Saccharomyces cerevisiae S288C: one gene and its partners. The gene in region 1 interacts genetically with each later gene. Each region holds a gene or a part of one and is shown in the gene's direction. Other genes may lie near its edges.

Region 1 (2,833 bases):
AGGGGGCGTGGGACTGTATAAGAGTTCAAGTAGCAAGTTGATGAATAAACTAGGAAGACAAAAGACATGGATAAATGAGTTTGAACATTTTAATTCTCTGCACGAAATTGCATATACCCCTAACATTGCGTTAAGTAGTGAAATCCAAAAATATTTAAAGGCATTGGAAACAAACTATCGGTCCATCTATGAGAAAAGTTCAGAATTACTGGATAAGAAGCTGGAAGAAATTGACAAGAAATGGATAGAGAAAAACGGGTGTATACCTGATGCATCTAAAGACGATGTGGAGAAAAATCTAAGAAAGCAATATTTAGCAGATGTACAGGACGTAAAAAACGAACATATACCTGTGATGAATTGTGAACCTGGTGGGTCTCAGTTCAAGTATCTCTGTAAAACTATTGAGTTATTATCATCCAACAAGACAATTTGTTTTGCCATCGATGTAGAGGCATTTGAATTTGATACAGACATTGTTACAGAGATTGGCATCGCCATATATGATCCAAGAGAAAACATTTATTCCTTGATGCCGATTATAAGAAGTTATCATTTAATTGTTGCTGAAGCGTTACCGTTAAGAAACAAGAAATTCGTATGCGACTTTAAAGACTGCTTTTTACTTGGAGAAAGTCTTGTATTACCATTGGAACAATGTGTAGAGTTCATTCAGTCGTTGATTAATTTCTATATGAAATGTGAGACGGACCAAGATACAACCTGGGAAAGAGCGTTTGTGGGTCATGCTATAGCGGGGGATATTAAGTGGCTGAAGAAAATTGGGGTCCATGTACCTGAATTGGATAATGAACTTACCAAACCGGAGGACTCAACGGAGAGCAAAGGTGTTAGAAAACATGTTAAGATGCTTGACACAGAGAAAATTTATAGCATGTGTTATGGCAAGAAGGGTAGCAGTTTAGGTAAACTACTAAGGCTTTTTCACTTGCCACATGCCTTCTTACATAACGCAGGCAATGATGCATATTACACGTTGCTCCTGATGCTGAAGTTAGGAGATTATAACTTTAGAAAGCAAATTGGGGCAGATGATTTAGAAACAATGGGATATAGGATAAGAGAATGGTTTAAGCGTGAGGCGGACGAACCCAAAATTTTGCCAATGTCGTACGTGCTAAGTGTGATGAATGCCAATAATAGCAAACCGAAAGTTGATGATAAGGGAAGAAAGAAGCCGAGGGATCTTGTACCTCAGACGGAATTTAGCGGGTCTCATTGGTTTCAAAATGCACGCGCAGCCTTCAAAAGTACTCTTGTGTGAATCTAGCTAGAAGTTTTGTAGGTATATGTGATTTAAGATATAGATAATAAAAGATATATATATGTAAATATTATGAAGGGGATATTAGCGTAATTTAAACTATTGAAATACCGGCTTCAATATTTCAGCTAACTTGCCATTTTTCTTCAAAGTTTCCAAATCGCTGTTACCACCAATGTGCTTGCCATTGATGTATACGTTAGGTACAGTTTTTTGGCCCGAGATTTCTTCTAAAGCGTCTTGAATCTCTGAGCCATTGCTCATTTCATCTAATTCCAACACAAGGGCCTTGGATTTGGGAACGTTCAATTCTTGGAAGAGGGTAGACAAAGTAGCTTTACAGTAAGGGCAGTATGTCTTTGCTGCAACAAACACTTCCTTTTGGCCAATCAGATCCTTTACGTGAGCAACTGTTTCCTGGGATACCATTTTTGGAGTAGATAAAAATCTTTTAGCAATAATTCTTGTGGCAAACAACGTGATAATGATAATAACAATTAAATTCGAGTCGAAGGAAAAATTGGTCTCCATGAAACAATATATAACAGTAGTTGGAGTGTCCGTTAATCAAGAGGGCACCTTTTCTTGGCGTCCTGGGACTTTTTATATGAAAATTCATGAAGAAAGTGCGGCGGGCCCCTTTGCGAAGGGGGCCGAAATATCGGATCTTAGTAATAGTTCTGCTATTGGATGTGGTATTAGCATAAATCAAGAGGGAGGCGATGGTTCTATTAGGGTAAAAGAGAGCAGCTTGAGGAAGAAACAGGAAAGGATGAGTACAAAATATCCGACAACGATGAGTTGCCGAGAGGCATTTGATCAACTGACGAGTTGCTATTCGATTGGAGGGCAATTTAGAAGCTATTACAGATATGGAGATTTTACATCATGTGACAAGCAGGTGTCCAAATTCAAGTTTTGTATTATCCACGGCAATGACCCTGTGAAAGTGCAGGAATGGTATAAAGATCAGGTTTCCAACAATAAGGCATTGGAAAATACCAGTGGGGTTATATGGCAGGAGAGGGAGACCACTGCAAATAAGTGAGATTTTTAGCTTTTTTTTTTTAGCATGTGTACTATATAGTATATGGATTTCTTATTTACAAGCGCAATAAAAAGACGAACACTAATCCTTGTTGTTCCGCTTCACGTCCTTACTTGATTCTATTTCATTGTCTTGGTGAAGTTTCTGTGTTTCCTTCATCAATTCATACAGTTGAACTGTTTGCTCAGGGGATAGTTTCTCCAGGGTTTCCGAAGATAAAGTGGCATCTTTCCATTTACCGTTGGAAATCATGTGGAGATAATCTTGCCAGGAAGCTAAAAAGCCGACTATATGCAACGGGTTATCGATATCTTTGTGCAACTTGAACTCGTTTCGCACGTATTGGTCACCCATCTCCCTTTGGGGACCAGGTAGCAGCTTATGCTGCCTTAGTATCCTTCTGTAGAGAACCAAAGGTGGAAGTAAAAGCTGGCTGTTATGGGTTGCAAATCTAACCGAACGATATATGAGCTTGTTGTTCATGGTGAATGAAGACGGGA
Region 2 (2,990 bases), on another chromosome or scaffold:
TTTAGTGAGCCCAGTGGGACCAAGAGCAAAGCGCAAGATCATGTCAGACCCTATCAGAACGAAACCCAAGTCGTCGATGCAAATCGACAACGCCCCTACGCCTCACAATACCCCAGCATCGGTTCTGAATCCGAGCTATTTGAAAAACGGCAACCCAGTTAGGGCCCAGGCACAGGAGCAGGATGACAAGATCGGCACCATCAACGAGGAGGACATCTTGGCTAACCAACCCCTGTTGTTACAGTCCATCCAGGACAGACTTGGCTCGCTGGTGGGCCAGGACAGCGGGTATGTGGGGGGTCTTCCCAAGAACGTTAAGGAAAAGCTGCTGAGCTTGAAGACTTTACAAAGCGAGCTATTCGAAGTTGAAAAGGAATTTCAGGTGGAGATGTTTGAGCTAGAGAACAAGTTTCTGCAGAAGTACAAGCCCATTTGGGAGCAGCGGTCCAGGATCATTTCAGGACAAGAGCAACCCAAGCCGGAACAGATCGCAAAGGGCCAAGAGATTGTGGAGTCACTCAATGAGACGGAGTTGTTGGTGGACGAAGAAGAGAAGGCCCAAAATGATTCCGAGGAGGAACAGGTGAAGGGAATTCCCTCATTCTGGCTAACCGCATTAGAGAACTTGCCCATCGTTTGCGACACGATCACTGACCGCGATGCGGAAGTTCTGGAGTACCTGCAAGATATTGGTCTGGAATACTTGACGGATGGTAGACCCGGTTTCAAGCTGTTGTTCAGATTTGATTCTTCCGCCAACCCATTCTTCACCAACGACATTCTGTGCAAGACCTACTTCTACCAGAAGGAGCTCGGTTACTCCGGGGACTTTATCTACGACCACGCAGAAGGCTGCGAGATCAGTTGGAAGGACAACGCCCACAACGTCACTGTGGACCTAGAAATGCGCAAGCAGAGAAACAAGACCACCAAGCAGGTGAGGACCATCGAGAAGATCACTCCCATAGAATCCTTTTTCAACTTCTTCGACCCTCCCAAGATCCAAAACGAAGACCAAGACGAGGAGTTGGAGGAAGACCTCGAGGAACGTCTAGCTTTAGACTACTCCATCGGGGAACAACTTAAGGACAAGCTAATTCCTAGAGCCGTGGACTGGTTTACCGGCGCAGCCTTGGAATTCGAGTTCGAGGAGGACGAAGAAGAAGCGGACGAGGACGAAGACGAAGAAGAAGATGATGATCACGGCTTGGAGGATGACGACGGGGAATCTGCCGAAGAGCAAGACGATTTTGCTGGCAGGCCGGAACAGGCTCCTGAATGCAAGCAGTCATAATCCCAACGCACTTCGCAAGAGTGGTCATAACCGTATTCATATATTTATATACATATGTATACATACATATATAGATATATATATGTATATACATGTAAGTGTGTAAGCTGAAATATATGTTAAAGCGCATGTAACTAAGACGACAATAATAATAATAATAATGATAATAATAGCCTAGATTTTCTCCGCCGTGGGGGATGATCGTATTCTTTCGGATTTAATAATATAGCAGCAAGGGTTATAAAAGGAAAGATAACGGAATGTATCGGTAATCATTAACCATCACTCACTCTCCAGAACCGTAGCGTAATTATGTCTGAATCATCTATTTCTTCTTCTAAACCATCTGTGGAATTGCCACAAGCAACCTGGTCGCATCTGCAAAGATACCCAGCTTTATCCAAGTTTATTAAATATGCGGAATCTCTGCCACCTGTGGAGAGATTGATTTCCTTCAACCTCGTTGTTTTGGGATCTGTGAACCAGTGGGTTTCCGAATCGTCCAGCTCTCCTCGTCTGGTGAAGCAAGTTGTTGCTGCTGGGAAGGAAGGGGCCTTCAAGTTGGACGAGTTAGTTAACCTCTTGGTGTTCAAGGAGGGTGTCGACGGCTTGCTGTACAATTGGAAATCACATTCCAACACGCCAGGGATCTGGCTGGTGTGGTTCTTCGTCGACTACGTCGCCAACATTTCTAATACTCTGTTGAGGGAGTTCCTGATCAAGCCATTGCACTTGCAAGGTTCTACCGCATCGAAGGAGATCGGCTCTTCCGGTGAGGAGAACAAGGTCACTGATGCTTCTTCTTTGCCCCACGTGGCAGAGTTGTCTTCAACGACCAGAGGTATGTCGCAGGAGATCCAGTCCAAGGTCAAGTCGAACTATATCGACCCAACCAAGGACCTGGCTAAAGAAAAGTACGACGCCATAGTGAAGCCCACAACTGACAAGTTGCAGTCTGTGTACATCGACCCAACAAAGACTAAGCTTAACGAAACCTACCAACGCTTCACCACTGTCTATGAAAACAATCTAAGTAAATCTGAAAGCGTCCCTAAAGCCATTGTATCCACCGGGTTGGACTTGGGCAATGCCACCATTGAGAAGCTAAAGGCCTCAAGAGAAGACCAAACCAATTCTAAGCCCGCGGCTGTGTCGACCAATTAGTAATTTGGTTTTGCGCTAATCGTGCGCCTGATTTTTTTTCCTGCCACTCTTATATAGTTATTTGTTATTATTCTATTATTTCATCTATTGTTTGCTAGCTATTATGTACGTTGCTGTTTGAGCACTATATACAATTGAATACCAAAGAAAAAATTATAAAAACGAAAAAAAAAAAAAAAAAAAAAAATTTGGTTATAGCTCGATCAAGAGACAATAAAAGTGAATATACATGGTGCCAAGGGAAAGTCCTAGCATGTCAAACAGTCATCATACATCCCAGGGAAGAAGAAACAAACTTTCAGTGTGGGTTAAAAAAATAATAAACACCACTACCACAACTAACGCATCGGTCTCGAGCAGTAAACCAAGACGCGGCACTAGGGCTGGCCCCACAAGAGTTAAGCGTGCTGAGTTGGATCCGGATGGAACAACCATCAGTTCGTCGTTGCGACCATTGGTTGATCGAAATTCGTTGCATTCGAGCGAATCCGATGACGAAGGAGACCGTCGAGTGGCATGGGATGAACCACCA
Region 3 (2,306 bases), on another chromosome or scaffold:
AACAATTATGGTCATGTGCCGTAAATGTTTATCCAATGCTGGCAAAAGAAATTACAAATGACCTACTTGTGACTCTAAAAAGGAGCCAATACAGCAAATGTCTCACTTGGGTGTACACATTTTTACAAGAAAATGCCCATATCCATACGAGAAAGATCAATGGAGGAGAAGACTCTTCGTTATCTGGTTTCAACGCGGTTGATTTTGAAAGGTTTGAAGAGTTCAAGAAAAAAGTTTCTCACAATGATGTATATGGAGCAGAATTGGTGATTTCGAATAGTTTGAAGGAGGGCATTGCGCCTCAATTTTCATTTTTGTATTCCGTTTTGGCATTATGCTTGAGAAACTCTTTAACTGGTTTGGCACGTGTAGTTGATGTGATATTAAGGACCAGATTCCGCTATATCCCACTAAAAGTCGATATATTATGGTTGAAATGGGAGATCATTTCTAATTATAGATCTTTTGAAAAGTTGTCTGCTGAACATTTAAAAGAACTGGAATTCAAACTGAAGGAATTTGAACGAGTACATCAAAAGGAGCTTTCAGTTCAAAACTATTTACAACTTACTCAAATATGTTTCCACACCCGTGATTTCAAATATGCATGTTACCTAATTTCACAAGCTAGAAAAAATTTGGATACTTCAAATAACAAACAGTGGATGATGTATTACATGACATCTTTAAAGTTGGCGTCAAGAATGCATGAAAGCGAACGGTTTAGTAGGATTTTAAAAGACTGGAATTGTAATCATAGGGCAAGCCTGATTACTCCAGGTTGCATTAGACAAATCAAAGGCTTTATGAAATATTTTGAGAAAAGGCCTGCTTACATTTCAACTGCTGCTTCCATTGATAACAAGGAGATAAAGGATCGCATTGACGAGTTAGTACTTAGATATGTGGACTATAAATACCAGGGGCTTGAGAATATGAGAAAGTTAACACTTTTCTTAAAAGAATGGTTTGATGAAGAGATTTCACTATTAAAGTTGGAGCAAAATGAAAGGAAAATGAAGCTTTTTGAAGAGAATAAAAAGGAGGAGGAGTAATCTTTTCAGTTATTTACCTTCCTTTCTCTCACGTGTAAATATTTGTGTGTCATACACACCGCTAAAAACCTTTGCATCAACTTATACCCTACATTTCTATAGACGCTATTTGGAAACAAGATGTAACCCTTTTTTTCTTTTAGTTTTGAGATTTGTACTCGTAAAGAGTACGTTTATTTATTTATTCAAATTTTATTCTTCATACCATGTAAATATAAGCGCATATAATCACTACGATCTTAGTACAGCTAGAATTGCTGACGCTTACAATTGCTTTATTGTTTGATTATATGCACGTATACATATAGTGTCAGCAAAAAAAAAAAAAGGCAGTACTTGATTGGCTACGCCGCGCATCGTCCGAGAAATCCGGCCTGGTAGGGGCAGGTTTGAAAAGGCGGATAGAAATAAAAGATGATATTATTTATTCATCCCATGAATAGTAGAACTCGATATAAGATTCTAAACCAACAAGTACAGAAAGCAAAACAATAATAAATAATGGCTAATAAAGTTATTCAACTACAGAAAATCTTCCAATCTTCCACTAAACCTCTATGGTGGAGACATCCAAGGTCAGCTTTATACCTGTATCCATTTTATGCTATTTTTGCGGTAGCCGTCGTTACACCACTTCTATACATTCCAAATGCTATTAGAGGTATCAAAGCCAAGAAGGCATAGTTAGGTAAAAATAACATCCGTTCATAGCATCTTTATAATTGTTCTTTGATATTAAGTGTGTATGCTCAATACACATCACCCAAAACATTTTTATTCGAAATAAGATGAAAGCCATTTATTTATATATACATATATAATATTCTAAAGAATAAGGAAACAACTAATCGAACTAGCATAGCCTTTTCCATCTTTGTTTTCTTGCGCAGTAATAAATCGTTTCAGTTAGGCCTGGCAATAAAGATTTGCTAATCATTGAAAAAGGTGTGATTGATTTTCTCACTTGAAGTATGTCTAGTATTTATTAAACAATTATAATGGTGTAAACTAATGTCTCTTCAAGCAAAACGTGCTTAAAAGTGTCCATGTGATGGGAGGGATCATATTTTCAAAGAGGTCTTCAAACGTTGAAGGATAAGCTCCTCTTCATCATCGTCAACCCAGTTGGAGCTCCCTTCATCGTTCAGAAAATCCATCAACACTTGTTGCTGTTGATTCTTGTGATGAGTCTTTTGCAATATTTCCCTCTGCTCTTCAATTTTCTTTTTTAATAACTTCATCTTAGAAGCG
Region 4 (2,946 bases), on another chromosome or scaffold:
ATGTCATTCAAGCAGGAACCCATTTCAAGGAAACACTGGGAATCATAGGCAATGTGTACAAACAAGAGGGTTTTAGAAGCTTGTTTAAGGGTTTGGGCCCCAATTTAGTCGGGGTTATTCCAGCAAGAAGTATTAATTTTTTTACCTATGGAACTACTAAAGATATGTATGCTAAAGCGTTCAATAATGGCCAAGAAACACCTATGATTCATCTGATGGCTGCTGCAACCGCAGGTTGGGCAACGGCGACGGCAACCAATCCTATTTGGTTGATTAAAACAAGAGTACAGCTTGATAAAGCTGGGAAAACATCGGTCCGACAGTACAAGAACTCTTGGGATTGCTTAAAAAGTGTTATAAGAAATGAGGGTTTCACTGGCTTGTACAAAGGGTTGAGTGCCTCTTATTTGGGTTCTGTTGAAGGTATACTTCAATGGCTATTATATGAACAAATGAAGAGGTTAATAAAGGAAAGGTCTATTGAGAAATTTGGATATCAAGCCGAAGGTACAAAAAGCACATCAGAGAAAGTCAAGGAGTGGTGTCAAAGATCAGGAAGCGCTGGTCTTGCAAAATTTGTGGCTAGTATAGCAACATATCCGCACGAAGTTGTCAGGACGAGATTGAGACAAACGCCCAAGGAAAATGGTAAACGAAAGTATACAGGTTTAGTACAAAGTTTCAAAGTTATAATTAAAGAAGAGGGACTCTTTTCAATGTATAGTGGGTTGACCCCGCATTTGATGAGAACAGTTCCGAACAGTATAATTATGTTTGGTACATGGGAAATTGTTATAAGGCTACTATCGTAGCCTTGAAATCTAAAAAACTCTAAATTCACTTTAGGGCCAAGACATACTCTAACAAAAAAGTATGAAAAAAGTGCATTTTGTAAGGATATAAAGCCTGTCAAAGTTTATAGAAAGCTAACCTACTAAGGTTTGGACCCCTTCGTTTCTTCTCCTTTACTTTGCATTATTTATCGTAACATATCAATGATCCTTATTTACTTCATTCAGTAAATTGGTCCTTTTATACTTGTAAATATTTTTACCAGGTCACTAGTAACAATAAAATGTTTTAAAATATCAGTAGCGTGAAGTAAAATTCAATTACTAGATGATGTTGAAGTAGATCCCGTAATAATGGGCTTTTCCCCTGTGAAGGTGAACTTTAGAACATCATCCACATTGAAAGGTTTCGAAGGTTTGCTATCTCGTACTAGAAGTGAAGCGTGTTCTTCGCTTAGGGATTCTTCATTTTTGAAATCGTGCTTTCCATATTCGTTTCTAAACGTAGTGCGCGCCCAATTCGTTATTTCTCTGTCCTGTTGCAGCAGCTTTTCTATTTCTTCATCCTTTAGCAAGGCTGTAGTTACTCCAGATGTTTCCCTAACATATTTCATCCATTCGTCCACTTCAGGAATATTCTTCTTCCTCAAAAGGGTAGTGACCAAACTTTCATGAGAGGTGGTTGGGAATTTAGGCAAAGGGTAAACCACTGTAGAGTCTAAAGTTTCTTGGAAATGTTGTAGAGTGGAGGTTACAGAAACGAGCTGGGATAATGTGACATTCAGTTGTGATTGGAGTGTATACCATTGTGGCAGTTCGGCTTTGGACATTTCGTCTCTGATTCTCCTCAATGAATGAGTTAATTGAGCCAAACGCATGCGCACGGCATCTAAAGCCTGGCCAGGTACACCATTGAAATCAAAACTAACATCTTCTTGGAGGGAGCCTTGATTGCCCTCTGGTACCAGTGATGCAGTAGATTGTGACATATTCCACGTTGCTTTATGTTTTTCTTTTGTTCTTCTTGCTCGGGGTTCTCTTATATCGATGAAATATTTCAATATTAAAATCCTTAACTTTGACGAAAAGGCAATTTTTGTATATTGAGTTTCCTTACTTTTTTGAACAGAACGTACTTTTAGACACTTTGCAAAGGCCTTCAGCAAATTTTTTTGATTATTTTCAAATATCAAGGAAATATATTACCTTCAAAGTCATCCAATCCTTTTAGTTCTCGCATTCCATCATTTTATACTATATACGTTTGAGCTTAATGGATCAAAAGAAGGACCCAAGTAATAACTTAACAGAAAGAAGGGTTTCCAAGGTCCAACGCCCAAATAAGAAAAAGGTACGAAATCAAGTTGAATCACTTTCTAGAAACCTAGAGAGAAATAAAGAGGGACAGCTTCTGCAGACTGTATCAAAAGGTCATTTAGAAGCTGATTCTGGACACTCACTGGGTCGTGAAAAAGAGAACGGTGAACTCGGTATAAGAAGTATATTTTACGATAAAGACTGGAATCCAAGAGGCACTGCACCATCACATTACAGAAATATACCTTATAATCCTGCCACTTTCAAAAGGCGAACTGAAGTTCAAGCCAGACTGGGAAACCTCGAGAATATCAAAATACCAAAGTGAAAGTTCAAAGGTAATAAATGAGCAACCACTTTCTTCGAAATACAATATTGAAATCAGCATGAAGTCTGAGCGTAGTGTTTATTGTAGCAAGTCTTGAGCATATTTTATAAACTCTATTTATGTTTGTATATTCGTCTATCAAATGGTTGAATATGTAATAGGGACAGGAGCCATTAGCATGCCTGGCTTCAAGGAACGTTTAGGTCACGAATGTCCAACAAGGTTTCCTGCAGGTTTCCATATGTGAACTGAATTATCATTTGCCACACTGCACATTAACCAAGGGTCATGAGCGTCCCACGAAATGTCGTTCACACCGAGCATATGACCACCATGGGTAAATATAGTTTCTTCGCAGGAGGTATCCCATAGCTTGACTAACCCATCTTCTTGGCCAGCCGTTGCCAATACAGTATCGAAATTTGGACTCCATTCTAAAGTTGAAACGGAAGTACCGTGCTCCATGGTAGCGATTGGGCTTTTGTTCATGTTTCTAATATCCCATAAATT

What was found.
Region 2: mutations in EMI1 (region 1) and PLN1 together harm fitness more than expected from each alone (negative genetic interaction), as found in Saccharomyces cerevisiae (2 studies listed by BioGRID).
Region 3: mutations in EMI1 (region 1) and COX7 together harm fitness more than expected from each alone (negative genetic interaction), as found in Saccharomyces cerevisiae (2 studies listed by BioGRID).
Region 4: mutations in EMI1 (region 1) and AIM4 together harm fitness more than expected from each alone (negative genetic interaction), as found in Saccharomyces cerevisiae (2 studies listed by BioGRID).

Annotation. Positions count from the first base shown.
Region 1 is NC_001136.10:1,470,000-1,472,832, reverse strand, and holds EMI1 (Emi1p), read left to right. Parts: upstream 1-1,769; coding exon 1,770-2,333; downstream 2,334-2,833. Other genes in the region: YDR514C (uncharacterized protein), read left to right, coding at 1-1,285; dithiol glutaredoxin GRX2, read right to left, coding at 1,385-1,816; SDH7 (Sdh7p), read right to left, coding at 2,415-2,816. UniProt on the Saccharomyces cerevisiae protein: Involved in sporulation. Required for the full activation of the early meiotic inducer IME1.
Region 2 is NC_001143.9:523,691-526,680, reverse strand, and holds PLN1 (Pln1p), read left to right. Parts: upstream 1-1,606; coding exon 1,607-2,458; downstream 2,459-2,990. Other genes in the region: histone chaperone NAP1, read left to right, coding at 41-1,294; YKR045C (uncharacterized protein), read left to right, coding at 2,712-2,990.
Region 3 is NC_001145.3:778,378-780,683, reverse strand, and holds COX7 (cytochrome c oxidase subunit VII), read left to right. Parts: upstream 1-1,556; coding exon 1,557-1,739; downstream 1,740-2,306. Other genes in the region: PET111 (Pet111p), read left to right, coding at 1-1,055; GFD1 (Gfd1p), read right to left, coding at 2,117-2,306. UniProt on the Saccharomyces cerevisiae protein: Component of the cytochrome c oxidase, the last enzyme in the mitochondrial electron transport chain which drives oxidative phosphorylation.
Region 4 is NC_001134.8:607,974-610,919, forward strand, and holds AIM4 (Aim4p), read left to right. Parts: upstream 1-2,064; coding exon 2,065-2,436; downstream 2,437-2,946. Other genes in the region: RIM2 (Rim2p), read left to right, coding at 1-812; RNA polymerase II mediator complex subunit MED8, read right to left, coding at 1,109-1,780; MSI1 (Msi1p), read right to left, coding at 2,641-2,946.